Lonchura striata: one gene and its partner. The protein of the gene in region 1 purifies or fractionates together with the protein of each later gene. This does not show direct contact. Links are inferred from orthologs where the notes say so. Each region holds a gene or a part of one and is shown in the gene's direction. Other genes may lie near its edges.

The links.
Region 2: the proteins of PSMG2 (region 1) and PSMG3 purify together in Homo sapiens (affinity purification with mass spectrometry; 4 studies listed by BioGRID and IntAct, counting the BioPlex papers as one, with this or other methods). This does not show direct contact. The link is inferred for Lonchura striata from reciprocal best matches to the Homo sapiens genes PSMG2 and PSMG3.

What each region holds. Positions count from the first base shown.
Region 1 is NC_134603.1:53,160,425-53,175,411, forward strand, and holds PSMG2 (proteasome assembly chaperone 2), read left to right. Parts: upstream 1-6,758; 5' UTR 6,759-6,813; coding exon 6,814-6,882; intron 6,883-8,458; coding exon 8,459-8,630; intron 8,631-9,393; coding exon 9,394-9,452; intron 9,453-10,265; coding exon 10,266-10,384; intron 10,385-11,698; coding exon 11,699-11,872; intron 11,873-13,043; coding exon 13,044-13,284; 3' UTR 13,285-13,521; downstream 13,522-14,987. Other genes in the region: CEP76 (centrosomal protein of 76 kDa), read right to left, coding at 465-593, 1,675-1,772, 3,461-3,646, 4,158-4,382, 4,740-4,821, 5,143-5,298, 6,547-6,609. UniProt on the Homo sapiens protein: Chaperone protein which promotes assembly of the 20S proteasome as part of a heterodimer with PSMG1.
Region 2 is NC_134618.1:12,908,136-12,923,359, reverse strand, and holds PSMG3 (proteasome assembly chaperone 3), read left to right. Parts: upstream 1-8,959; 5' UTR 8,960-9,023; intron 9,024-9,316; exon of another isoform or gene 9,317-9,378; 5' UTR 9,379-9,380; coding exon 9,381-9,596; coding exon of another isoform or gene 9,597-9,601; intron 9,602-11,605; coding exon 11,606-11,758; 3' UTR 11,759-12,156; downstream 12,157-15,224. UniProt on the Homo sapiens protein: Chaperone protein which promotes assembly of the 20S proteasome. May cooperate with PSMG1-PSMG2 heterodimers to orchestrate the correct assembly of proteasomes.

The sequences.
Region 1 (14,987 bases):
AGACTCAAGTAATTTTGACTGTAGTTGTTGTGTGACATAAACTAGAGAGATTGCATTGCAGATGAGACAGAGTACAAATATTTTGAGGATCTGTTCTAATACAGGAAGTCAATTTTTTGTAACTGTTTTATCTGGTACAAAACTTATCTGAAATAGTTTGTACAGACCACCTAAGTCTCTGCCATCTGTGAGTACTCAAGGACAAGACTGAGCAGGCTTTTTCACTTGGTACCTCAGAGGTAGTCAGAGCAATCTTCCGGTCTGCATCGTTCTCTTAAGCTTCAATAGATAAACAGAAGTTCAGTCCTTACAAATTTAATTTTTTTGCACAATACACCACATTTAGCCCTGACCTGAACATAATCAGATCATAATCTACACAGATTCCACATACACATAAAGTTCAAAATAAAATAAAAAGATAACTTAAAGAAAGGATTGGTCTATTTGTAAAATTTACGAACCTGTGCAAAGATCTTTACCAGCCTTGCATTGTGGGTAGGCCTGATCTGCAGGTATTCTCTCCACCACTGCTTAGCATACACAAGAAATAAACGTTCTTTTTCTGCTGTTTTCTGACGTTCCAAAGTGAACTGTAAGTAGGAAAAACAAAATCAGTCCTACACATACTAATTCCAAACAGGAGAAAAAAACCCATGAATGATGCCTTAAGTTTTAGCTTTTATATTTTCCAGATTCTGTACTGTATTAATATATAATGCTGAACTTCATATAAAGTGTTAGCAAGTTCTCTTCACAGTTCAGTTGGACAAAACAATCCTTTTCCAGCCCAAGAGCCAAGGTCATTGTTGCAGCTTCAGGCCCAAAAAATATAAACAACAGCGAATTGAGGAAAGCAATCCGAGAAGATGGAACTTCATAATGTGAAGCTGTAATTGGACAACTGACCCCAGTATGTTCTCACACAAAAGTGTGAGAACTCGTGGCCTGGTGTCCATCCTGGGTGTAGCCATGGCTGGGTTCTTCTATTGCCCAAGGTGTAACCTTTGAAGGCCTTTTAATAAATACCTACTTTATTCCTTTAACACTGTCTAGCCTTTGTTCTAGGCAGCCTCTCAAGGCATCATAACCAGTAAATACATTAACACCACATCCTGGCATGTGTAAAATAAAGCTTAACATTTTAAGTGTGCCATGTGAATAAAATGGAAATCCAATTAAGAAAAACTTCAAGCTGTATTTCTTGTTTGTAGGTTCATATATCAGGCTTGACCAAAGTACTGTTCATTTTAAGTAATGCTTTTCTGCATAGAAGGACTGCTTGGATTTTAATGTGCAGAAAAATATCTGCATGCACCTTCAGGCCAACATTTACTGGCTTTCCAAGCAGAATAGCTAACTTGAATTTACTGTTGCATATGGGAAAGAGCAAGAAAACATATATACTACTTGAAGAAAATGAGATATATTGCATCCTTCTTTTTTCTTCAGAAGATTTGATACATGTAATTAGAAAAACCTATGACAGCAATATTTTGAGTACTGTTCAGTATAGACAAAATACTTTAAAAAGGTAATTCTATTTAAATTTAATAGAAAAAGGAAGCATCATTAAACATTCAAAAACCCCAAGTCCTCAACATTTACAATTCTATACTGAGCTTCCCCCACCACCGATAAAAGAGTAAGTTAGCCCTCCCCAAAATTACTTACTTGAGTACTAGTTATTTCTGAAGAAAGTGTCTTACTAAGTTGTGGATACATTTCCAGTCTGATGCTTAAAACACCAACAGAAACCTTTGATTCTGTACCTTTGAAACAAAATTAATTTTCATCAGTTCTCTCATATTCATTTTGCTTAGATTATTTCAGCCAGGCAAGGGCAAACCATTAAAATATGTATGTTAGCCTTAAATAATCACAAAAAGTAACTAAACTTCATTCAACATAGGCTAAGTAGGAATTTTAATTGAAATTTCAAACTCAAATGAGGCTACAAGAAAGCATAATATACAAAAGCACAGGTGTCTACTTCCAATAAAATGTTCCACAGCCCTATTTGCAGCCAGTACTGGGACATATGAGATGAATCCTACAATGTTATTCTAGAAATGTCTGGAATAGGCATCTAAAATCGAGCCAGAGAATCACACACTGTAAATGTGCCTATTTCTACTGATTACGCAAGTAGATTAAATTTAAATAGGTAGAAATAAGTGAAGCTCATTTTCCTCCAGGATACAGTTCTTATGAAGGACTCTGGCTGACATACAAAGAAATTTATCAACTTAGAAAAAACTCCCCAAAACAACAAACAAATGAACAACAACCCCCCTGGACTTAATATTGTTGCCTAATGCTGAAAATTTTAAATTACATAAACAACAATGAGCTTTACAAAACAGATCACAGATGGGTTCATAAGCAATACAAGCAATGGAAACCTCACATAATAGTTTATCTGTTTATCTGAGATGGCAGCATCCTTTGATGTTCTTGATGCATTTTGTACAATAACAGGATTTTGAAGAGGAGAAAAAGCACTTGATTTATTGGATTGATACTTTATTACTTGGAATAAAGCTAATGAGAATTAAATTTAACTTGCTCCATAACCCATTCAAGAATTAAACCCTACTTATTTGTTATGCATTTCCAAGTCATTACAGAATATTAAAATCAGAATGGCCTGGTTGGATGGAATCTTAGAAACCACCTATTTCCAATCCCCCTGCCACCTTCCACAAAATCATGTTGGTCAGAGGTCCATCCAACCTGACCTTGAACACTTCTCAGGATGTGGCATCCACAGCTTCTCTGGGAAACTTGTTCCAGGAAAAATTTCTTCTTAAAATCTAATCTAAATTTACTCTGATCTTGTCCTCTCATTACCTGCTCTTGTAAAAAGTCTTGTAGGAAGTAATGAGAGACCTAGTCTTCATTCACTAAATCATATCCTAAATCTTGGGTTGGAAGTCCTGAGAAGAGGACTGGGGACAAGTGACACACAAAAATACACACGCGTACTAACTGCTAAGCACCTAAACCAAGCCGTTCAGAACCACACTTCCAGCTACTGGGATAAATGGGAGCAGAGCAGAGATCCTTTTTTCCAGACATTGTTAATTTGCTATGAAAGGCACACAAGCTGGATTTTACTCCCCAGTGCACTGACCAGATATATTCCTGGAGATGAACTGGATTTTTGGTTGGTTAGTTTGATTCTGATAACTTAACCAGATTTTGCAGGTAATCCATAGTGGGAATTCCCAGGCATGAGAACCATTTTTATATGGGATCTGGAATACTCATTTTTAGCAGCTTGATAACAGAAAAATCTGACCATTAAGTCTTCTAGGGATTTTCTAAGGATAATTTACAGTTACTTCTGAATTGAAGAAAAAAAATTAACTAGATCAAAAATACTGCTTTAAGCTTGTAAGCGAGCTCACTACTCAATATTTTAAGTCATTACAACATGCTTATTTTTCATCCTTACCTACACCCAGGAGTTCCACAGCAACACTTGCTATGCCATTCTCTGCAGCCAAGACAGACCTCCACTCCAAGAAATAGGATGCTACCAGTGTGGTCTCACCAAATGTGTCTGTTTTGATCAGAACCATATGTACTGGGTCACATATAGATAACATAGTGGTTGCATCCACCATCTTGCTTCCATCACCTGCCATTATTAAACCAAAATAAAACAACAAGAATATTATCATCCCAAGTTCTCCTCAGAATTTTAAAACAGTATGCAACAAAATGCAATGTCTGTAATAAGTATAAAGAAAGACCTTGAGTCCAGAAGTGTAAACAATGATCCTATCTCTAACACCATACTCACTTTAGGACAGAGCTACAGAGAGATTACAGAGAAGATAAAATTATTTTGCAGTTGAGTACTGCAATGCAACTAGTTCAGATACACAAAAAATATAAATGGAATTAACATTTAAGAATTTATAAAGCTGGTCAATTTCAAGTTATTTTAGAGTGAAAAAGAAGGAAAAGAGCAAGAGCAGAGAAAGATCTACAAGGGGTATAACCCAATACAGTAATCAGTTTTCTCAGGAAAACATGACAAAAACCAGGAAAAAAATTCACTAAATAATACCAAACATATTTCACAATAACTCTCAGGTCAGAAGAAATCCCAACAGCATCAGCTTTAAACCCACAATATTCCTTACCTAGGGTATCCTTGTGTATTTCAAGTAGAAAACCATCCTGAAAATCTGGCTCACAGGCACAGGGTACAGGTTTGGAACGGAAGCGCTGGTTTCGAAAATGTAAACACAGAGTGAAGGTAGAACAGATCTGGCCAGGCAGAGGCTCTGGTTCCTGAAGATGTTCCAGAAAAGCTTTTCCACCCAAAACCTGAAGGTAAAGATACCTCCGTGTTGGGTCAATGTTAGCTGCAAAGCGTAGCAATAAAAATGAAGAGACTACAAACAGATCTTAGAAAGCTTAATTTGTTAAATATCAGGTAACTAACAGGACACTAGCAAAAAATTAAACTTCTTTGAAACATGCTTAGAAGAAAGTGATTTTAAAATATACCTTTGTGTAAAGTAAATGAATTAATAATAAATAATATTTAATGCAACACTGATTGCTGCTGCTTACATGAGTTTACTCCCTGTGGATAAGCAGAGGAAACATCCACCTTTATTCCAGTTCATACTGGATTACTAATTCAGAGTGCCAAAATCAGAGACTTCAAATTTGCTTTAAAACCATGATCTAAACATTTAAATAAACAAGAAACATACTTTTTTTCAAAACTGGTGGTTCTCTGTCAACAAAATGTGTTGATGGTTTTGGAGCCAAAGTCCTCTCCGTTTCATTCACATCCTGGAATTACAATTAAGACTTTTTAAGGACTCAAGGGATGCAACAGTGCTCTTACCACAGTCTTCTAAAAATTAAAGGATCTTCCATTTCGTCTGAATGCCATTCCTTAGGTATACTCCCTTCTAAAACTGAACAAATATTTTCAGTGCAGTATTATCACCAAACCGATTTCAGCATGTGCATTAATCTTCTCTGCTCCTATAATGTCTCAAATCAGTAAGGTCCTTACAAAACTCCAGAAGCAGCGGTTTCACTTTGTCGAAAAACCACGGCAGTAAGAGGAATAAGCAGAAATATTTCCCTTCTTAAAAAGCTACTTACAGTTACAAATTTAAGTTCCTTCATAACATCATCAATGATTCCCCGCTGTCTTAGGGCTCTTATCAGATCTTCTGTGGACAACTGCTGCTGCTCAGGCGCCAGCTCTTCTCGTACAGTCTCAGCAAGAACTTCTCGTATCCTCCCATGGACATCCATCTGAAAGAAAATTCATTATGTGCTACAAACACCAGCCCTCTGTATGGCAGCAGGTACAACTTACCAATTAAGTCTGTAAGGCTAATGGTGTTTTCCTAAGAACACAGAAATAACGATATCAAAATACTGATCCTTGCACAACTAATCAAATGAGCCACTATCTTACAAAAGCAACTCTCCCAGTAAAAAAAAATTACAAGCATACAAAACCTTGGCATTTTCACTGCTCTTTGACAGCAACTCATCTGGAACGTCCCCCCTTACAAAAAGGTCTGGAAATACATAAATTACAAAATGGTCACTGTTCCATTTTCTTGTCTCCCTCAAAATTCAACCTTAATATAATACTTCCTTATTTTTTAAGGGGAAAAAATATTCATTATATAGGTTGGGCACAAAAGCAGTAGATCTCCTTTGCAAGCTTTCCCTATACTCAAAGGGATGTCTGAGAATGCCCATCATCTGAGCTGTGAAAGCAGATGGATTTATAGAGCTGACTCTCACACTGGAAGGCTGCGAAGGACACAGTCACCAGGACCTGAAACGGAATCACAGAACGACCTTGTTGGAAAACACCTTCAAGATCATCTAATTCCAAAACCCTGGCCATGGGCAGGAACACCTTCCACTAGATCCGGTCACTCAGAACCCCACCCAGCCTGGCCTGAAACACTTCCAGGGATGGGACATCCACAACCTGCTCCAGTCCCTCAACACCCATCACAGTGAAAAACTCTTCCTAATATGTCTTTCAATTTGAATCCATCTCCCCTTGTCCTGTCACTACACGCTGTGGTAAAAAGTCTGTCTCCTTTCTTGCTGGCTCCCCTCAGAAGGCTGCTATGAAGTTCCCACCGAGCCTTCTCCTCTCCGGCTGCACAATCCCAGCTCTCTCAGCCTTCCTCAAGCAGAGGCGCTGCCCCCCTCTAATCATCTTGCTGGCCTCCTCTGGACTCACTCCAAGATCCCCGTTCTCCTGTGACGGGCAGGAATATTCACCACTGCACTAACAAGCGCTATAGGAGTTACAGCCTCCTTACTTATTCCCCGGCCAGTTCAAGACCCTCGCTCAAAAAGCAACAGGAAAGCGACCAAGCGGCGCCTGGAAACCACCTGCAGCGACCCAACTGGGAAAACAAAGCGGGGCGCCGGAGCGGGCGCCGCCGCCACCCGCGGCCGGGTGACACCGGCACGGAGGCCAGCACAGCTCCCTGAGGGCCGGGGAAGTCTCTCCGGCGCCGGGCCCACCTTGAGCAGCTGCTGGTGGATGATCTGCTTCAGCTCCGAGGCTTTCTCCGGCGGCAGCGACATGGCGGCACCGCCACCGAGCGAGCCCAACCGCCCCGCAGCCAGCGCGGGCAGCGCCGCCGCCGCCCCCTGGCGGCGGCACGCGGGTGCGGCGTCCGCGCCCTGCTTCCTTCCTCCCTCCCTGCTTCCTTCCTCCCTCCCTCCTTCCCTCCCTCCTTCCTTCCTTCCTTCCCTCACTGCCTGCTTTCTCCTCCCTTCCCGGCCGGCATGTTCATTCCGTGCGGCCGCGGCGGGGGCTCCGCCGCCCCCGACTTTAAAGGGTTCACTCTGCTGATGGTGAGTCACGCTCCTGCTTCGCCTTTCGCCGCCCTCGCCCTCGGTGCGTTTGAGGGCTCGCTGCCCGCGGTCCCTGTGCCGAGGGCTCCGCTCCGCTCCTGTGGGACGGGACATGTCCCACGGGGTTCTGGTGTCGGTCCCTGCCCTGCCCGAGGCTCGTCCCTGGGCGCTTGGCCGCGGGATAAGCGGAGAAAGCTCAGGGCAGGCGGTGTGTGTGGAATCTGTGGGGTGTTCTGGGAAAAGAGGGTTTGGAGGGCTCTGTCTGCGGCAGAGCTTAGCGCGGTCTTCTCCTTTTCTGCCGGCTTCTCCCTCCTCAGAACCCCGGGTTTGCCCCTGTCAAGACGATCCGTGCCGAGCTGCAAAAGCTATATTTTAATTTAGAGCAATAACTATATGCTATTTCGGAGCTATAGCTATACGCTGTTGCTCTAAAAATTAACGCGCCCTATGTGCTTTTACTGGATTTGCAGCACCCGTGGGTTGTCACTGCAATAAAAGCTTGGGATTTTTTTTTTTTTTTTAATTTAGATGTGATATATAAATGCTTCAAATGTTTTTTTTAAAAAGCCATTCTGCTACATTTAAATCTCGGACTAGGATTGTTTTCGGAAGTGTTTTTATCGCGCGTGACACCGGTGCCGGGTGACGTGCCCGAGGCGACGCTGCCGGGCGGGAGCTGCAGGCTGCGGAGGGACGAACGCCGTCTGGTCTGGCCTCGCTGCGCTGGCTGCAGGAGCGCCGCCGCCCAGGCGGCTCCACTGCCGGCACGGCTGCCGGGGAGTCATTCCCGCTCCGCTGGCGAGCGCCAGGAAGCGCATCCCTGCCGAGCTGCGCGCCTGCGGCGGGCGGGCAGCTGGGTGCCAGCCAGGCGGGGGCACGGCAGTGCTGCCGCGGCCCCCTTCATCTTCTGTCCGCCTCAAATCCGCTGTCTTTCCCCAACAGGCAGCAGCAGCAGTAATTCTTAGATGTGATTATAAATTAGAGGAAAGCAACCGAGCGGTTTATGGTAGTCTTCCCGTAATAGTTTCTTTGGAAGGACACTGACTCTTTACTTTCTCTTTCCGTGTCGTCATATTAGGTCAGTATCTGCCCCGATCGATGATAACCCGTAGCAATTCTTATGAAATTAATTTAAGGGCACCCTTATAATTTTCATCCTTAAAAAATATGTAAAATTACATACTCTTGTCTATGAGTCAGTCTGAGATTTAGAGGCTTAACATGTAATACCAGAGCTGCCTTTGGGCATCATGTGAGCCAGTCTCACATCAGTCACTTGAGTGACTTTTACCTACTCTCAATCCAAAAATGTGGGGAAGGAGGTAAGTTTCCAAGCTGTTCTTTCAGTTTACAATTAGACAGGATTATTCACAGAACTGGCCAGGATGTTTTTTGTCGGACAGAGACCAAATCCTGTATTTACCAATTCTTCTGGTAGGAAATAGTCACCTTTGCCAGAGGATGAGCAGCCACTTTCAGAAATGATGTTTGACCAGATTTTAAGGTTTCACTATTTGAAGAGCACATTATGCCATCCATGAAGTATGCTGTAATTCGGTTCGTTCTGTTACTTCAGCCAGCCGTGTCCGTGGGGAATGTCGGTCAGTTGGCAATAGATCTGGTGATTTCCACGCTTGACATGACTAAAGTTGGTTACTTCTATACCGATTGCCTGGTGCCAATGGTTGGAAATAACCCATATGCAACAGCAGAGGAAAACTCAATGGAGCTGAGTATAAATGCTGAAGGTGGGTATAGAATACTGCAAGCGTTTGCAAGGGACATAAGATGCAAGAACATCACATTTTCTTTTTCGTTGTTGTTAAATTTTGCTGATGTGCTTAAATTAAGGGCAGTAATAACAGCTGCAGAAACCTACAGATAGGAATGTATTCATATTTCACAAATGAAACTGTTCCTGTTGTTATTTTGGAAAACCAATTTGACATTTAGAATGTTTGAGCCATATTGTAGTGCAACCAGAACTCTCTGTGGTATTAATCCAAAGCAATATGAAGTGTGCACATACTTAAAATAAATTATTGGAATACAAGTTGAATTTCTCATTTAGAAAGATACTTATCCACTCTTCTTCTTTCCTACATACCTCTGCCTTTTTCCCTGTGTAATGTTTCTCCCACTCCCCCTACAAATTCTTAATTTCTTTCCCTACATTCATCATTGTATCTCCTTTTTTTTTACCCTCTTAAATCACAGAAATCTCAGAATAATATGGCAATCTTTGCAAAGATGCATACATAATCTGAATCATTACAGAAGGCAAATCCTCATATATGTTTCATAATTCAGTCCTTAAATTAGTACAACTGAAAGTACAATGCACAGAAATATGTGGTTTTAACACAGTGGATGTTGTCAGGCTTTCCCGTATGAATTGATAACTGAAAGGTTTACTTTACTATCCTGAAGTTTGTAAGTGGGGTAATTCTTGATATATTTAAACCCAGATTCTCAGTTTCTGCTTAATATGACAATGATTTCTTCTTGTAGTGTACTCCTTACCTTCAAAGAAACTTGTAGTTCTGCAGATCAGATCACCTTTTATAAAGGTATGTATGTTCATCGATCATTTTTACTTCACTGTTTGGTTTGAATAGTTCTGCTGGCAAAAATATTTTTCTACTTCAGGCTGTAACACCTTCTGCAGTTGGTAAAGTTTTACTGATTTCTGCATTTGCTGAGGCATTTTGCATCATCAGTTTGGGCATTTTGTTTTTCCAAGCCCCACAACAGCTGCCTGTGTTGGTAGATTTTAGTGCTAATATCTCCTTAGTTATTAAGAGTCATGAAAATACAAAATGGTCTGGGTTTTGTTTGTTTATTTTTTCCTTTGCATTTATATTTTTTCTGTATTCTTTGTAATAGCTTTATTCTTTTTTGTGTTATGCCAATTTAATTATTTCATATTATTCTATATTCATTTAAACAATGTTCATTTGGTAAAAATGAGGAATTTAGTATTACTCATTAATTGGGCAGTGGCTGTAATTTAAAATAAGCAGAATGCCACCACAGAAAAGAAAATTGTAGTGCAGTATTTTAGCAGTTCAAAGTGTGGAAAAATACTGTGTGATCCTGCCATCCCATCCTGCTCTAAATCTTTTTCCTTTGGTATTAACGGCACACAAAACAGGTAGTACTGTTGTTCTTGACATGGTCTTAGAGATAATTCTTGTAATTCTATTTGTAGTTTTGCTTAAGTAAACAACCAGGGCAGTTCTCTGCTTTCTAATATATCTGGGGCTGAAAACTAAGTGGATATGAAGAATAATTTACGTCACTGCTAAATACTATATGTAACACCTAGTATTGTTAAGGACACATTAAATTTTTCACTTTTTTGTCTGTGTCTTTGCATGAAGAACAAGTACAGGCCATTCTGTGAAACTCTGCTTTCTTGGGTGAAGAGCAGCAAATTTGCCAGGGTTGTCCTCCTGTCCAGCAGCCACGCATACCAGCGTGATGATGAGCAACTTTTGGGGTATGTTTGTCTCCTTAAAAGATCTAATTGATGTTTCTGGGTTTTTTTGACTGATATATTTCCCTCTACTTCCATGTCCTGAGTACTTTTGGCAGGTGCTTTTACTTGCATGTGTGCATTGGTCATAAAATGCTTAGTATACTGTTAAAACATGACGTATTACAGTACAAGTCACTGAATTTTCTAGGTTACTACTGTCAGAAGTACTGATCAAATGAAAAGCTGTAAGCAAATTGCACTCAGCCTGCATTGCCTCAGTTTCAACTTCTGTGGCCGCAGGCAATATCAGGGCTTAACTGCTGACATACAGGTCACAAGTTAGGTTTTTAATAGTTGATGGCAATATTAGTTTGTTTCTGACCTCTTTGTTATCATTCTGCATTTGAAAGGTTTTCTTCAATACAGTAAGTTGTCATTCCTGGGTTTTGGGTGTTTTTTTATAGGAAGTTATTTGTTGGGAGGCAACTGCAAGGCTGCAATTGCAGTCTTTTTTTAATAGATACTACCCATCCAAAAACCAGGCCTTTCCTGATGATTGAGGGCATCCTATTTGGTGATTTAATGAGAAATAAATAAAATCAGTACTTCTAGAAATAAGACCAGCATTTCTGCAGTTGTTATCCTCAGGCTCTATAAGTGTGTAGGGCCTCAAGGGAGATTTAGATCTATGCATGTCCCAGATATAGCGGTAGATCCATACAATTGCAGGATGGCCAGCTAACATGGAATGAAATGAGAGGGACTGATGGTTATTTGATGAGGTCTAATTCATAAGTTGTGATTTAAACCCTCTCAGCTCCTTCAGCACCACAGAACAAATCCCTTAGAGCAGATTTACTAAAGAGTGAGAGTAGTGCATCCAGAAAATACTTTTAACTTGACTAAAGTCTGAATCTATTAATAATGTGAGCTTACTAAAAATACTGTATCATGATTAAGTCCAAGTTTACCTTAACAGATTTTGAATTAATCACCTCTTATCTGAAGGAAGAAAAAACACATTTTATTAGTAAATTATTTTAACAACCATAAGCAGTTTCCCTATTTAGGTGCTTAAGTATTTGGCACTTGCCAGTTATTTGAGCCCCTGAAAGGGTACCTAAATTTTGTTTGTGGCATAAAGTTGAATAGTTTGTACAGTTTTGAGGCCACAGACTTACTTTCTAACTTCGATCTGAAGAGGGAGACAATGTCAGACCATTTCTTCCCTGCAGGTGTGAGGTCCTCAGTGCTGGCACCTTCTGTCTGCCAGAAGTGCTAACTGGGGCAGTGTCCTTCCTTGGCAGACTGAATGCATCCTTGACTTGTTTCTAGGACACCACTGCGCTACCTGCTCACACCTGATCTGGAGAAAGCAGTTGGAGGCCGCATGAAGGAGCTAAATTGGAAAGAAATGGAAAAAGTAGCAGCTTATCCTGGAATAAATAATACAGACAAAGTTCTGCATATACCTGGAGGTGGAATCACAAAACTATTGTTTACTGAGAGGTGAGTGGCCTAAAGATAAGCACAGAAAGGTCTCAGAAGTCTTGTTTTTAGTACTTGGGTGAAATTATCTTATAAACTGCTATGTTATAGGGAGAGCAAAGTCCTTCTGTTTATAGAACAGGGCTTTACAGGAATAGAATTTCATTCAGGTCAGGCCCATAATTAAGAGGAAGAGAAGTAGAGTCCTGGATCATAAAGTTAGAGTAAGATAAAAATATAAGGGAATAGGCTAAAGGAAAATAATAAAGTCTTTACAGTTATGATCACAATCAATCTGATATCTGATATTATCCAAATGACAATTTATAAATTGTAGTAAATTTCTGTACCTTTGCTGTTTCCTGAGGCAAATGGTTCCAACATCAGTTATATAAAAAAACTCAAAAATCCACAAACAATTCTGAGCTCTATGAATGAGTTAAGATTTCAGGGCCAGCCAAAAAATGAGATGTGGAGGTTTTGTTAAAAGCTGTGTGCATCAGAAGTTGTGCTGAAAGCTGAGTTAATTTTAGAAACTAATACTTACTTATAGCACAATTGTGTGTTTCCACAAAAGATGTGTGTTCAGTGGAAAATTGACTTTTATTTTTTAATTATTAGTTTTGACACTTGACCACACTGTTGTATTCAACAGCAACAAAGTTACTAATACCATGCTTACATTTAGACTGACTTCAGAATGGAAATGATACACAATTGCAAATGAAAAAAACCTGCCAGGACTTGAGGTAAAAAAATTAAAAATAACCATCTTAATATCTAAATTAAAAAATAAGAATATTCCAAGTGAAGTAGTCATATGCAGCCTGCAAAACTGCTGGTTTCAAATACACAGAAAGATAAGGAGATATTGTATTAAAGGATGTGTACAGGCACCTCACCAGCACAAAAATGCAAACTTAAGTATGTAAAAGGCCTGAATACTTTTGCAAGATGTAGGATTTGTGCCTTGCAAAGTAAAGAACAAATTCAAGACTAAGCAAAAAGCCTGAAGTGTGAAAATGTGATCTAGGAAATCTGGAGGAAAAAGAATATATATGTATACATACATTTTTCCTTTTTGGTTTTGGCTTTTCACAAGATACATGCATATTGTTGCTGCTCTTAAAACATAAGTATATTTATTCTGGATCTAAAAATAAATATAAATGCATGGCCATTTTTATTGCAGCTGTTCAGAGGGAATCCAAATGGCAGTTCTTCTGAAATTTTGCTCAGAAGGAGACAACATCCCTGATGCATTTGTTCTTGTTAACTATCTTAATGAATGGCTCCAGCTAATTAAAAGTGAAGTAAGTACTGTTTCATCTAAAGTTCTTGCTGTCATAGTCTATATCCATTATTTTATTTTTCTTCAGTCCAGATGGGTTCATTTTGGCTCTTGGTCATCAAGAATATGCCAAATAAAATAGATATTTGTATTAAAATTTCACTGGAAGTTTCATCACCTGAAAAAACAAATCTGAACACCAGTTATTTTGTTTGACAGTGTGGGCAAAAATTGTGTAAAGTTTTGATTGAGTTCTCTCTTCTAATGCTCTTCTCTAAAGCAATCCACCATGACACTGACACTTGTACTGCTGCCCATTATTTTAACACCCAGTTACATCATTACTGCTTAATACTTAAATATTCTGGGTTTGTTGCAGATCAAAAATTCCACAGATCCTTCTTCGCAGTGGAAGATACCAAGTTCTTGGCGCCTACTTTTTGGCAATGGTCTCCCACCTGCCCTCTTCTGATCAGCTCTGAACTCGCTGTGAGTCACATGTACAGTCACAGATGTCCCTTGAGGTGGTGATTACACAATAATTGTCAAGGAGCAGCAGCTTGCTTTGGTGTCTACATAAATGCTTTATTTAAGAAAAATTCCTTTTGTGTATGTGGGTAGCTAAAGAAATTAAGGTAACTTTCACAAACTCACCAAAGAAATACCTTTTGTACAGTTGTTTATTGAGTAAATTTGGTTGGAAGTTTTTTCTAATAAAATATTTTTTAAGAAACTTTTTTTCCTGGTTATGTGTTACTGCCATGGACAAGCTTAAGGTGCTTCTTTTTAATGCAGCTGAGAACTGAAAGTGATGTGTAGGCATGGATTTTCTTGGGAGATAAAACCCTCCACTTCCACATCACCTGTGGATCTTAACCTTTTTTCAAGACTTCCTGGTGAGGTAAGTGAAGGTCAGAAGTGATCTGATTTTGCCTTCTTTTCCCAATGCTTTTGTGGTAGCTTCAACAGGGTAGACTGCAAACAGTGTAACAGGCTGTTCTGTCTTTTCTGTCTATATAGTTGTAAACAGTGTGGGTTGGAAGGGGTCCTGATCCAAGAGATCCTCTAGTTCCAACCCCACTGCTATAGGCAGGGACACCCTCACTAGACCGGGTTGCTCAAGGCCCCAGCTAGCCTGGTCTTAAACGCTTCCAGGGATGAGGCATCTACAACTTTTCTGAGCAACTTGAGCCTGTGCCTCCCCACCCTGAAATTAAAAAAATTCTTCCTAATACCCTACCTAAATCTACTCTTAGTTTAAAGCCATTTCCCTTTCTTTTCACTACGTGCCCTTGTAAAACGTCCCTCTCAAGCTCTCTTGTAGAGTCCCTCTGGGAACTGGGAGGCCACAATTGGGTTACCCCTAAGCCTTCTCTTTTCCAGGCTTCCCTTCCATTTCCAGAGGCTGAAACTAAAGCTTTCTAGGTCAATGAGCCTTAGACCGAACATTAATTCAGTGCCCTGAAACATAAAGGAATCAGGAAACCTCTAATATCAGGCAGTCTTGTATCTCTGTATTCTACAGGCTTAGTCTGAGAGAGCAGCTGTGTGATAGACGGTTCACATGTTCCATATCTGTCATGGTACCTGTTGCTGTAGTATTTAGCTATGTGTTCAATTTTGACATTTTGGAAGTGCTTGGTCACATTAGCTGATTTAAAAACAATTTTAAATCATGGATGCAAGATGGTCAGTTCTAGAGTTGAAAAGTGAGAATTAACCAAAATACATTTTTAGGAGCTCCCACAGGTATCCAGACTGGTAAGCTGGTGAGTCAAAATGCAGATGCAGTCAGGGAATGCAGACAAAAGGCCAAGTGCAGCACAAGGCAAGTCTAATAAGCCT
Region 2 (15,224 bases), on another chromosome or scaffold:
GGAACACTTCTCAGTCCCTAGAAGCTAATGGTTGTTCCTCATCATAGATTTACAATGTAATTGAAAAAAAAACAAAAAGAAAAGAAAGAGAAGAAATTTTGATTAACACTGCTCTTAATCACCAAAGCTTTAGCTGGAAACTACCTGGTTTTGCCAGCCCAAGCCATAACATGTATTATAGGACTGACAGTAGAAACAACCAGAGAGTAGAATAAAATAAGAATGGGGTAAATGATGGTCTCATTTGCTCAGGAGCAACTCCATGACATAAATAGCTACTCTGCATTTATGTGGCTGCAGAAGCTCAGTTTGTCCCAGTGCCTTCTCAACACTGAACATTTGTCCTGCCTTCTAATCTTTAGGACCTTCCCCTGGCAAGTGTTGTCATGCTCTTATTTTTCCTGTTTGCATGATATATCAGGAAACATCTCTAAAAAGAGACATCAGACTATGGCATGGAATTCTCTCTGGGAAATAATCTGCTGTGCTGCAGCCTGAGTAGGGGAGATCTGTTACCATTCAAGAGATGTCCCATTCAAAAACTGCTGAAACAAAAAGCAAAAATTCCCTGAGTCAACCCTGAAGCAAAGTCCCAGCCAACATCAGGGAGTCCTTTTCAGTTAGAAGAGCCTCTTTTCAGTTAAGACTTTTATCCAAGGTTATCCGAACACTTGCAATCAAATGGCATTTTGTGCTAACATTAATCCTGGTGTCCTGGCCACATTCCAGCTTAAGTAACAACATTCTGCCAACCTAAATTCCTCCAGAGGTTTCAGGAGGATGGAATTTTCTTCTTCCTTTTTGTTTTCCATTTCTAGGTAGTTAATTCTGGACTGTGCAAATGACTGACCACCTTCCAATCCAGCACTGGCAGCACCTCTATCAGGAGGAAAGTGGACCTTGAAGTGAGAAGAACCAAAATCCTGCATGAAAACACATAATTTATAATAAATGGCTTTTAAAACACTTCGACGCTTTCTTTCAAATTCTTTTAAATTTAAAATCAGTTCAAAATATAGAATTGGAATACTACTGACATCTCTGAGAAAGTTTATCAGCAATTCCAGCAATCAGAACAGAGAGGTGCCTTTTAAGTTCTAATCAATAGAGTTGTGACACAAACGAAAGGGAGATGTTACATAAGGAGTTTTTTTCTACTGGAGAGAACCCTGACAGCCAGTTATTGCACTGAGGAAAGGAAGTTACCCAGATGGACTCTCAGTCACACTAATGAAGCCATCTCATAACTGTAACAGAGACCTCATGTATCTGCTGTGACACTTAGCAAATCCGGGCATGAATAAATAGCCAAAGTCCAATTGAATTAACCTCCAGCTGATCAGCCCTACTAAACAAATTATCCTAAACTCTGAACAAGATTAGAAGGACTGGCACAGGCCAGAATCGTGTGGCAGGAGTGTTAATTCAGTTTAACAAGTTTAAACCTAATCCTCCGGTGTTCTCAGATCTCAGGGTTTCAGGGCAAACTAGCTCCAAAATGCTCTTGGAAGGGTTAGAAAAGGAGGCTCACATGAAGCTGAGAACAAAAACATGAGCTCAGCCTAGAGTCACCTAAAGATAGAGAGAATAATTGCAAATGCAGAGCAAAGAAGGATTTAGGCAGAGTATTTTTTACTGAGACAGAAGAGAGTAGGAAAATAACATTGATTTCCTCATGGAATATTCCAACCTCATTTCCAGGATGAAACTTAAAAAGTTGATAGCATATCTGCCTTTCTTAATTATCATGTTTCTTGTGCAGAAATAGGAGATAACCACCTATGAAATAAGGGACAATGCTCCATTTTAATGCTATTTTCTCCAGTATATAATTATATTTTCTTCTAAGAGTACATTTGTACAGTCCATCAAAAGCACAATTAAATTATCACAAACTTCAGTTCATTACTTAGAATGGCACTAACAAACAACTTCAGTATTTGTTTCTTTTTATGTCGATTCATAAAAGAATTTATATGGCCAGTTAAAATTAACTTTGAACTTCAACTTTAACCAACTCAATATTTTGCAGGGCTTCAAAATATTAAATCTGCTTCCAAGAGGAAATATTTATTTGATTACTCTCTAGACACAGGAGGAGATGTAGTAAACTCCACAAGTTTTCTGAAATGGAGATAACCAGGATTATAAACCCTTCTAAAAACAAATTCCTGCAGTACATGCACATGATGCCTCACAAAATCTTTCAAATCACAATAATCTTAATAAATTTATTTCCAATCTTCTATTACAGATAGGTCCTTCAATGGAGCTCCCAAATTCCTAAAATCTCACTCTTTTCAGTGAGTCTGCTTAGTATAGGCAGGTGAAGACAGAAATCTGAGAGTCTCTACAGCCCACTAAAAGACACCTGCCCGCACTCTCCTGCCTTGCCATGGAATGTCTTTATGCAAGGCTGACTTGGATTCTTCACTGTGGCTTCAGTTTTTGTGCTAAATTTAACCACCAGACAGGATGATAATTTTGACTAGATGGCAAAAAAATGTAATGTTTAATGAAAGAGACAGACACCAGGCATTTCCACCATCTTCAATACCTCTGACACCTATAAAGAATTTAAAGATCAGATGAGGCCAATCTTCACCTGATATTCAGAATTAATTCATTAATAATTTTGTTATTGTTTCATTGGCAAGGCATTGTTGCCCATTTTGTTGAGAACTGCCTGAATGCTTCCACATATTTGAGTGTTGCAAAATGAATACTCCTGTAATTCCGAGGCTTTTGTTACACAACCCTCCAAATGGAATCATGACTTGTCTACTGTGTACTTTGCTGTTATTTATGTAGTATATAAATGCAAGGTAAATATTTATTCTCATTTTCCACTGTGTGCACTGACTGATATCTCCAAAAGTTAACAGCAGCATTATGAACTGCAAATGATGACACATTGTCAAAGTTGAAACCATTTGGTTAGATGCCTCTTACATTTTCAAATATTCCCAATGTAATTTGATAACTGTCTTGAAAATAATGAGGCAATGGATTTTTCTTCTTTCAACTGTGTAACAATGAACAACTATTAGAACCACTTTATTATTTCCAGAGTTTGAGGGATCAGTGGCCACAGAGAAAGTATGCCCTTTTCAACCAAGTTTTTAATTGTTTCCTCACTTGAAAGAGGAGCTAATTTATTACTAGCAGCACAGAAGGCATTTGTCTCATCAAGATATATAATTTTAACTATTAGCATCATACTAATACTCTGGCATTCTTGTTACTTCTGCAAGGGCCATGCAGTTATTTTCTTTGCTTTCACACTTCTCAGGAACAGAGGGGTATGAGTTTTACTCTTAGAAGCTATGCCACAGTAATTTTTACAATCCACTCCATTTGCATGTTGTCTTCCATCTGACAGATCACCACAAGCACCTGAAAATCTCCTACATAAACTATAGTGAGCTTTAAGGCAATTACTGCTGTCTTTACTGATGCATGGAAATAATTCCTCTGGCCATTGCAGCAATACAAAGCTTCTGCTGCTCACAGAGTAGATCTGCTGATGGATGATACCATCCACAGGCGCTGTCATGGTTGTGATCTATGAGGAGCTGTTATTTGACAAATGAAAATTATGTAAACAGTACTCAAACTCAATCTTGCCTCATGATGACTCTGTCTGTTCCATACCCCCTGCCTACAGTGCCCAGAACAGCCAGCTGTTATCTCATGATAAATATCAAGGGTAAAATTATCATCAGACAGCACCAGGTTGGCTGCATGATGTAATCCTGACTCTTTTAGGTAGCTGGAGCTCTTTTAGCTCTCTTAGGTAGTCTGGAGTGTTTCTGGAGGTCTATCTCACACGTTTCTAGAAAGTAATTTCATTTCAGTGGCTGTTGAAATAATTTATTGAGGAATTTTTGCAAAGAAATCTAAGGTGTGCTAGTTTTAAGGGTACTGAATATATGAAAAACACTGCTGTTTGAGATCAAGCACCCCAAAAACTGTTTTCAGCAAAGTCCTTCTGCAGGTGTGACTTGCTTCACTCTTTCCAGGCTCTGCAATCTTAGCAGGAGCCCCTTCCCAAAATTCTCTCTCAGCACCAAGGTTTCTCCTTTCTCCACTCAGCCCCATGGATCTGTAATCCTTCTCCCCCAGCCTGCAGAGCAGCTCAGAAAACACCAATGACACAGCATAAAAAAAAGTCCTACAAGGGCTGGAGTACTCCTCTATTTATAGGTTGCTAAATCTGACTAAAAAAAACTTCCACAGAGCACCAGTCAAATTGCTACCTAGATGTTTCCAGGCCCAGCCAGGGCATGCTGGCTTACTGCCATGTTTTTAAATCCTACCCTGTGCATTGAGCTTTCTCAGGAAAATCTGCTAGTGCTCATATGTGGGCTGTTACTATTGACACAAACATTAATGAACATTCCCCTATTGCTTCCTTACTAAGCTGCAAGTACAAGAAACCAAAACAATAGCATGACCTGACAGTCTCAGGCATGTAAGCAATCCAGCACTTCTATTTCAGATGTGCTGCTGAGTGCAACTCACTCAGAAAGGGAACAATTTGTGTTTAAGTGCTGTGTTTGTTTTTTCTTCTAAGACTGTGGTTTTTAGCTGGCTGAATTCTACACTGAGAAAAAAAAATGTTTCATCAACAACAAAATAGGCTGGAGTGGTTCTGCAATGCCTGATGGATTGGCTGAGCCTTCCTCTCACACAATCAATGAAATAAGAGATGTTCCATACAATAAGAGCCATGGGGACAGCTTCAGAACAAAGCAAACCTCTTAGAATTGTCTCAGAATGAAAACTAATAATCTTGTTATCCTAGGGAGCACAGAAAAGGGACCAACACACAAAAGAGCCAGAATCGCCTCATCTTCCTTCAAAATATGAGCACATAAACTGAGAGCCTCAGCTTCAACTCTGAGATGCTGTTCAGCTACCACCTAATCCTGGACACACCTGAACTCCTCAGTGGCTCACACTCCAGCCTCAGGCTGCCCTGCACACCTGATGTCCCATTTCTGCTCATGTGCACAAGCAGCTGAGATGTAGTCGTGTTTGGCAGGCTCATACCTCTCTCAGGAGGACCTCCAGAAACCCAGAGATAAACCAACCAACTTCAGGTGAAGCAGGGGTGACTCCTGACTGTGGACAGTCAGGTTCAAAGCTGTGTTTCCATTCTGCCAAAGCCTCTCTCTGCTGACTGCAGCCAGCTAGCCAGGGAGACCCAACTAAACATCCCCAGGTGTGCTCTGCTCCCTGCCTCCCCCAGAGCATTGATTCACTATTATTTTCTGAACACGGTCTCTTCCAGACTAATTAAATGCAGTGGGGATGGCTTAAAAGGAGAAATCCAGGAGGTGAATTTCTGCTGTTCTTCTACTCCTTTTACAATGGCCCCATAGAGAGAGCCCTCACACAACCCTGCACCACCCACACCCCTGACCTCCCTGTGACAGTAATAAGGGGAAGAGGAGAGTTCTGATATTGTCTGGCCCAAAGAATGTACTCACAGGCAGCTCCTCTTCATGTACCTGATTTATAATAGAGATCAGAATAATTCCCAAGCAGCTCCTGCATCAGGGAGCAAGCTAATTCCTTTCCTCTCTCCTCGGCTGCGCAGCCCAGAGTCCAGCTGCACCCAAGGTTCCAGCTCACAGTCTATATTCTGCATCATAAAAGATACAAGAGAGAAATCTAAACTAGAGAAGCAATAACCTGTAAACTAATAAACCAACCCAGCACTTTGACAGTGAGATGCTCCCCAGAGCAGGGATTATTAATGGGTGTCCTGAAACACTGTGTGTCTATGATCAATAGTAGTGGGAAATATTTCTAATGCTCTGTGGATCTTACACATATATTCTTATAAAATCAGTTCAGAATAATGCAAAGACTAATATAAAAGCAGCCTCTTTCCAGTCTACACACACAGAGGCACTTAAGCAGTTTAAAAAGAAAAGCAGTATAAAACTGCTTGAATAAATAATAATAAAGGTATTAAACTGCAATATTAGGAGTAGTTTCTCTTGTCAAAGTATGGGGCTGCACAGTCATTGATTTTATCTTATAATTGAGACAGTGACATGTATGACTTATGTTTCTTTGGCAGCGAGTGCATGGGAATGGAAGAAGGGATCTTGAAATCCTGTGAAATCTCCAGCTGAAGATTTGATGGTTCTGAAACTGCTGTTGGTCTCGATTCTTTATTTCCCTCAAACCATAAAATGGGTTATATTAACAATCTGTTATGATGAAAGACAGTTTATGAAGCTAAATGTAATAATGTTTGCAATGTGATCAGGGATCTATGGAGATAAAGTGTTATAGCAAGCAGGAGTGTGAGTATGGGTACAGACCCTTCTCAGCCAGAAATGCTGGGAAGCAGATGACAGGCAGACAGATCCCCTCAGGAAAGGTCCCATTACCTGTCCTGGTGTGTATTCTCAAATCCCCATCCCCTGCCTCAGTCACACAAACAGGAGTTTTCTCCTAAGCTCATTTTTAATGGATTCACTCTCAGTGATGAGGATTCAGTGCTTAGTTGCTTCACTTGCTATATCCCACCCCAGCTAAATGCCAAAATGAGACATCCGATTGACTGAAACTGTGAAAGACAACTTTTTTTTTTTTTTTTTTTTTTTTTTTTTTTTTTTTTTTTTTTTTTTTGGCCCAAACTAATGCAAACAGCAAACAATGGTGTTTCCATGTAAATCTGAACTACAGTGGACTCCCTTTGTTCCCCTGTCATGTAAAAATTAAAATGAAGTCTACCAAGGAAGGCAGGAAGAATCCAGTCCTTTGTTTCCTGAAGTAAAGTTACTCTCTGGAGAAGGCAGAGCAGGAATAAACTTCTTTATGAGTCAGGAGGTTTTACTGACAATAGCTGCTATTATCTCTGTCAAACAGGCAAAGCCTCGAGTGATTGTGGTAAGCAAGAAAGAGGAATGCTGTTTATTCAGTGCTGGAAAACAGACTATTTGCCAGGCTGCAAAGAGTACCGAAAAGGTATTGAGTCTCCGAGTTTGAATTAACCACAAAAATAACCTGCTGAATTAAAAGCTTTTCCATGGACCTCTGCTGCTCTCTAACGGTGCCTTAAAGGATTCTCAGCACAAAGTCTGTGTTTTCCTCCTGTAATCAAATTTTAGTAAAACTTTTAATGCAAAACAAATAAAAGATGTATTCATGGTCCTTTGGAGATGTGACCTGAACAGATAACCCACAGGTCAGATAGCTATTGCTGTACACATGACCAAGATATTTGGGATGTGGTGAGGATGCTGGTAAAGGAGAGCTAAAACATGGGAATGAAGGTTTTGACTGTATTTTAGATGCAGCAATTGCAGGAGTCTGGGAGGTTGCAAACTTCTGGGAAATGCCAATTTTCAGGGCTTTGTATAAATTAGAATACAAAATCTTTATTCGTGAGTGCCAGTATTTCAAAGGGAAAAAATAGTACTGTATTGATTTGGTATAATTAATAGAAATTAATGTTTGCACTTGAGACTGACACATTTGGTTTCACCCTCCTCACACAGATGCCTTTATTTTATCCCCGAGTACAGCTCCAATGCTCGCTCAGCTAATGGCAAGGCCACTTCCATGACCAAAACCAACCTTGTTTTCATAGAATCACAGAATGGTTTGGGTTGGAAAGGACCTTAAAGATCATCTTGTTTCACCCTGTCGTGGGTGACACCTTCCACTATCCCAGGTTGCTCCAAGCCCTGTCCATCCTGGCCTTGCACACTTCCAGGGATGGGGCAACCACAGCTGCTCTGGGCAACCTGTGCAAGGACAGCACCTTCATAGGGAAATCTAAGTCCTAACAGCCAATATTCATTTATTCCTTTCATGTTTAAAAGCATTTATCTTGTCCTATCTCTTTCTGTATGTAAAAAATTGCCTCCTTTACACAAGCCCCCTTTATAAGCCACTTTTATTAAGATGGGAAAGCATACACTGGATCTTATAGTGCGGCCTAACAAAACCCAGTACTGGGAGGGACCGTATCCCATGGGGAAATGAGGGAAAAACAATATCCACAGCCCTTCTAGGACTGCAGGGTCACCGCTCCCCTCACACGCCACCCCTCATGGCACAGGGGGGTCCTGCCCTGTGACTCCTCCGCAGCTCCTGGTGTGAAACAGGGAGAAAGTGGGCGTGGAGGCTAAACTGGGGAAAGGGGTTCACCCCCGGAGAAGGGGGTTCATTCCTGGAGAAGGGAGTTCATCCCCAGAGAAGGGGTTCATCCCCAGAGAAAGGGGCTCATTCCCAGAGAAGGGGTTCATCCCCAGAGAAGGGAGTTCATTCCCGGAGGGTTCATTCCTGGAGAAGGGGTTCATCCCCAGAGAAGGGGTTCATTCCCGGAGATGGGGTTCATCCCCAGAGAAGGGGTTCATCCCTGGGAGAAGAGGTTCATTCACGGAGAAGGAGCTCATCCCCGGAGATGGGGTTCATCCCTGGAGAAGAGGTTCATCCCCGGACAGGGGGTTCATCCCCGGAGAAGGGGTTCATCCCTGGAGAAAGCGTTTATCCCCGGAGAAGAGGTTCATCCCCGGAGAAGAGGTTCATCCCCAGAGAAGGGGTTCATCCCCGGATAAGGGGTTCATCCCCGGACAGGGGATTCATCCCCGGACAGTGGGTTTATTCCCGGAGGTGGGGTTCATCCCCGGAGAAAGGGGTTCAGCCCCGGATAAGGGGTTCATTCCAGGAGAAGGGGTTCACCCCGGGAGGCCGGGTTCACCCCGGAGAAGCGCCCGGGAGCGGCAGCCCTGCCCGCGGCCGGCGAGGGGCCGTGAGGAGCGCGCGGCGGGGCGGACATGGCGCCTTCCGCGCGCACAGCGGGTAATGGCGGCGGCGCGGAGGGAAGGGGAGGGAACAGGCCGTGAGGGCTGCCCTGCGCCATCGCCCCCCGCCGGCTGCGGGAGGGAGAGAGGGAGGGATGGGAAGGGAAAGGAAAGGAAAAGAAAAGCGCCGCTTCCGCCACGGCGGGGCGGGCCTGGGCGGAGAGCGGCGGCGCGGCGGGGCTGGCAAGGGTAGGGGCGGTGAGGGCCGCGGCCCGGCGGGATGGGGGTGGCTGTCTCCCTGTCTCCATGTCTCCCTCAGGAGAAGCCTGGTGGAGCCGGGTGGAAAGCAGGGCTCGAGGTTTCCCCCTCGGTGCCAGCTGCCCGCGTTAGCGGGGCCCCTGCCAGGCAGCGGGGCCGTGCGGGGCAGTGATGCCATCGCTGCGGCGCTGCGAGGTCCCCCCCAGTCAGGGCTGCGGGTTTGTACTGAAATTAACCTCAGCGTGGGTATTTCAAACTATGGGAAGGATTCGGTCTTTTTGTAGCGCGTCGCGCATGTTTTTCATGTAATGCTGTCGTACTGTCGCCGTGTTGTTCCTTTCGGAAGCGATGGAAGCGGGTCCCATCGTGACGTCCAAGCAGCGGGAGGAGGTGGTGCACGGGGTGCCCACGGAGGTGGTGTGCACGGCCTTCTCCAACTCCGTCCTCGTGGTGGTCACACAGTACGGCAAGATGGGCACCATCGTCTACGTGGACCCCAACATCGTCGGCGACAACGTGGGCAGGCCCACGCTCACCACGAAGGTGCTGCTGGGCAAGGATGAGGTGAGGTGAGAGCGGATGCGGAGCGCTGGGGCAGCAAGGATAAGGGGGAAATGTAGTGGGTGGGGCTGTGCAAGTTGCCAGGGAGTTGATGAATCACAGCAGTTAAGCAGTGTTTGAACAGTGATAAGATTAATTTTAAAATGAGGAAAGAGGGGCTCATCAGAAAAGTATGTGCGCTCGTCTGCTCTGTGGACATAAAAGTGTAACTAACCATGAGTGGTTTGGCGATCTGTTGTTTTGTATCCTACAGGATATGGATTGCTTCTGCGTGTTTATGGAAAGTTTGATAAAACTGTGTTGATTTAAGGGTTGCAAGATTAAATATGCAGCCATTGATAACCTTTTTGGGTTTCTGTTCCAGTGAGTTTGTTTTCCTTTTCAGGTCTGTTTTCCCACCCCCATCCTCCCCTGTCTATGCCAGCCCCATAATGGGCTTTAGTTGCCCACTCCCAAGTGTGCCCAGCACCTTCCCTTGATAAAGTTAAATTTGTTTTGCTTCAACAAAATGAGGTTTTTATCGACCACTTCACAAAGCTAGAGAGAAAGCAGATGCAAATGTGTTTCGCAAAGCATCAACTGGTCAAACATTAAAACAGAGTTACAGAGCTACAAGATTATGAGGCTTTCCATCAAGGTTGAAGCTATTGCATATTACTTGCTAGATTTAACTAGAAAAGCTATAACAACACAAGTTCCTGATTTTATCCATGACTTTTCCTTGTGGAGTTCTTTCTCTTGAGCAATAGCCTTCCCTTTTTGGGAGATATTTTGCTTTCTCTGCTTTGATATATGCAAATTCTGACCACCTCCACCCCCAAGCTTATTTTGTGTTTTACTTGGAAATGGGAAGTGCTATGTTTACTTTGTTCCATTCTATTTTTAAAAAATTTTAACTAACTGATCTAAATTTCAAGAAAAGACTTTCACTAGTTTGCTGCTTTCCTGCTTGTCACTGCTAACATCCTTCTTTGGGACGCTGCACACTTCCAAACAGCAGCTGAAATCAAGCAAACTCATCCTTCCAACAGATACACAACTATGGGTGTAAATAAACCCTAGACAAGCTGGGTGGTTCGAAGCTGTGCTGGGTGAGGTTGAGACTGGACATGAGAAAACACCTCTTCACCACGAGTGTGGTCAGACACTGGAACAGGCTTGAGGTGCTTGATGCTCTAAGCCTGTCAGTGTTTGAGAGCCATTTGGACAATCCCCTGAATAATGTTTTAACCTGGTCAGCTCTGAGTTGGTCAGGCAGCTGGGCTAGATGTCATTGTATGTGCCTTCCATGTGACATAGTCAATGCTGTTCTGATGTATTCTTGTTAAAGAAACCTCATGGAAAAGGTTATATCCCTTTTTTTGCCTCCTTCAGCCTCACTACTTATTTCTGCTCTTCATTATTCTATTAAAATAAAAGGCAACATGTCTGTAACACCAGACATACAAAAACTGTGTATTTAACACCATTTGGGGATCTCTAGGAATTACAAAAATAACAGCTTTTTTCCAGAGCTTGTCAATGGAACATCCCCTTTTCAGAACAAGATTTTAAACAAAAAAAAATGTACTTGCAAACTTCTTTAGAAACCTGGCTGTGAAGGAAATAAAGGCATTTGGATCCATAGCATTTCATATAATTTAACACTGGTGCCACAGTTCAGGTGGGAGGATTATGGAAGGAAAGATTCTCCGTACGGAGTTTCCAAGTTTCCCAGACAGTGCTGAACTCAATTCAAGTGCAGCTCCACTGAAGTTGTTTCCGGGTGGTGTGGGTGGCTGGCACATTCATGGGACCAAACTCTTCCCTTTTAATCTGGTTGAGAAAATGCTTTCTGAAGTTCCCTGTCCCATGGCTTGCCTTTGCTGACCATGTTGGAACTGGCCAACAAGCATCGAGCTCAGTCTGAGTCCAGAATCAAGAGTTTCTCCACGTCACTCAGGGACGCTTCCTCTCCTGCAGGAGGGCTCTCCCATTGTAGGAGTGTACATCTGTATCCCTTTGCTTTTCAGCCCCTCGTTCATGTTTGTGCCAAAAACCTGGTGGCGTTCGTGTCGCAGGAAGCTGGGAACAAACCTGTTCTCCTCGCCATGGCTTTAAAGGACAAAACCATGGAAGGAATACAGGCTCTACGAGAAGTGATCCGGAGCTGCCAAGTGTGGTGAAGTTGTGCCATCTGGATTCAAGGAAATGATCTTGAGTCCGTGACTCATCACCACCTATTTAAAAGGACTAGAAATGAAAACGATGGAATGTCTTTGTGGTGGTTTTGGATGTCCTAAGGAATTTCATGAATTTTTCTCTACTGTGTAGAACATTTGTGGGTTTTATTACTGGGACAGGTTTGCAAGTCCATATAGACAGTGGCGAGACGAGAGCAATTGTCTCAACATAGGAGAGAAGTGCTACTTTTATCATGTTGGGTGGGTCATTTATTTGGGAAAGGGCTCAGCTCTGCTCATGTGTCCTGAGGAGCAGCAGATGCCAAGGTCTGTAGCTGTGCCATACCGCAAAGGGGGAACACCCAGTGCAGAGGGAATAAAAGAAACATTGTCAAATCAAATTTTACCTGTTTTCTTTTTTGCTCTATGAGAATCACTTCAATTGAAATACAAGCCTTGGTAAAAAATCAACAGTTGCATAATGGGAAACATTTTCTTGCCTTTTTTTAGGAAATGAGTCTTAGATGGCTGCTTTTGTCCTTATGTCCGTTCCTTTCTGGATGTAGTCTGAATTAATTTTCTACTTTCACTCTGATTTTAAAGAAAGGCAGATCATGACACTTTGCAAATTTCATGAAAGCTGATGTCAGGGTGGAAGACAGGAACCCAAATTAGTGGTAAGAAAATAATCTCTGCCAATGGATTACGTGGTACCAACACATCAGAGAAACAGCATCCATTGGCTGATCAATGAACATCTGTCAGGAGATGTGAGGACAGATGGTTTGAGGGGTTACACAGGGTTGTTTCTGACAAGTCACCTACAAAATGTGTCAGATTATGTTGTATGAGCTGATGCAAAGATTAATAGCCAAACTTTTGCCTGGAAAGCACATTTGTTTTTACCTCTTGTAATAAACAACAACAAGTAGTAAATTTTCAAGTGAGCTGTTATACACTTTTGTCACTTATGAACTTGACAGCACAGACAGAGGCCAGGTCTTGGATTCTGGGCACAGTAGAGTTGTGCTAAGACCAGTTGGTACAGCAGAATCAGCACAGAGCCTGTGCCTGCCCCATCATGGTGATCCAGCTGCCAGGTCATTCTGTTGTTAAAAAATCCCCTAGAAGTAGAAAAGCAGAAAATGGATTTCGAAAGGACTCTTTTCTCTGAAATAAGAGTTATTTACAGCATTTAAAGGGATTATGAGAAATGAAACTCTTTTTAAAAAATACATTCAAACACTGCAGGCTTCCAGCTGCCCTTGACAAGAAACTGCATCTAAAAATAATTTTCTAAACTGTGCTTCCAAGAATCAAAGATTCACATCTGTCAGAGCTATAAATTTTTCCTCTTTTCCACTTCCCTTTTTTTTTTTTTTTTTTTTTTTTTTTTTTTTTTTTTTTTTGTCTAGGAAGGCTGAGAGAGCCATGTGGAATTAGTTATTGTCAATCTTGGTTTGCTAGGAGGGATTCTCTCCTGACACAAAACTGAAGCTCTTACTGTGTCCACAGCTCCAGCAGCTTGAAGAGAACATGCATGAATCAGCAAATTGGATAGAAATTGCATCTTCCACTGTGGTGATAGAGGGGCATACCACTGCTGTGCCCCAGAGAGCTGAGTGTTACTACCTAAAAGCCAGGCACAAGTTAAGTACCTTCATTTCCTGGCTGTGTATGTGCCACCTGGTCTGCATAGGGCAGGGGGTGAGGAAAGGTCATGGAAGCATCTCTGATTTGATGCTCGGAGCCCGGACAGACTTACCTTGCTGCCTTTCCATGTTTGATAAATTAGAGCCCGAGCAATTGGTCCTTCGACTTTGCTCCTCTCTGCTGCACAATAAACCAAGGGGAAGGCCTGCTCAAACAACAGGCACAAGATGCCACCAGCTGCCTGCCTTTTAGCACTGCTCTCCTCCAGGTAGAGATTAATTCCCAATTGCTGGGAAAGCTGCCTCTGCCGCCCAGGCAGAGCTCCTGCCCTCGGCCCGTGTGCTGGGCGGGGGACAGCGGTGTCGGGCCGCACAGCCGCTTTCCATCCGTGTTTGCTTTCCGGGCGTGGGTGCCGAGCGCGGCGGACTGGAAAGGTAAGTTGGGTAGCTTTTCTGCGGGAGACAAAGCCCGACCTGCTGCTCCAGCTCCCGCGGGGCCCGGGGCGCAGCGAGGGCGCTGGCAGGGCGAGCCGGGCACAGCGAGGGGGTGCTGGTAAAGGTAAGCGGGGTGCCGGGACACAAGGGCCAGCGGGGAGAGTGGGACGCTGCTGGGAAAAGTGGGGTGCTGGTGGGAGCCGGGAGCAGCGAGGGTAACTGGGGCAGCGGCAGGGCCCGCGGCCAGCAGCGGGCAGGGCTGGGAGGGTGTCCGGAGGAGGAGTCTCCGGCGGGGCAGGTGGAGGAGGGCACGGGGGATGCAGAGGCAGGTGCACGGCAGCCGGACTCCCTCCCGGAGGAGCCCCAAAGGGTGAGTGGGGCCCTGGGGGGGTGCACAGCAGCTGGGGGAAACCCCACAAATCGGGGTTGACTCAGCCATTGGTTCTGAGCACCTGTGGGAGCCTCTGGGAGGGCAGAGCCTCCTATAAGAGCCCTGTGCCTGCGTCATCCACTCCTCCAGATGGGCTTCAGGGAGTGCTCGATGCTGCCCTGCCGCGATTTGTAGCTGTGTGCTGTAGGTCCTTCCCCCTGAGTGGCCTGATCGTGGTGTGGAGAGGCTGGTCCCGTAAATAGAGTATCCCGGCTTTATCTGACAGCAATCAGGAGGAAGGGCATGTCTCCTGCTCTGGTGGGGCCAAGCCTGGATGCTCCCCTCCCCAGGATATGGGTCAGGGATCTCAAAGGCAGTGCTGGGGGGCTGCGAGGGCTCACCTTTCCCTGCTGACCTGCTTCACTCCACAGGGGGCTGCCGCTGAGATGGGGATATGTCCTAGGTGCTGCAGGACACAGGGAGACGTGAGCTGGGAGTCTGGGCTCTGGCAGCCTGCCGATGGAGGGGAGTCCCTGGCAAGGTGAAAAGCCCCATTTGCAGGTGGCCTGCCTGAACACAAGCTTCACTGCTCAGTTTATCTTTTCAGTTCTCACTTAGCATCTCTAATATCCCAGAGAGTGTATGTAACAGGTAGACACTGTATGGCAGGTACCTGCAAGGTGTCTGAAAACAGATTGGATATGGCTCAGTCCCATCGAGGAGCTGAATTTTGCAGCTGGTATTATTCCCGGTGTCTCCTTGCTGCCTTTGTTTTGGAAGCAAATGGCTCTGTAACTGCATTGAATTGCCTGACTACCTTGCACGGCCGGGATCTAATTACCTGTGGAGCTGGGAGCCCTGTCTCTGAGCGGCACCGCGGCTTTTGCTTTTAATGGCTTGCTCTGCAATGTTCAGAGTGTGACAATGTCGGGGAGGCTGCCAGGACTGGCTGTTGGTGCCACCGTGCTCACACCGCCATGGCTGGGAAAGTTCATAAGAGATGGGATGTCTT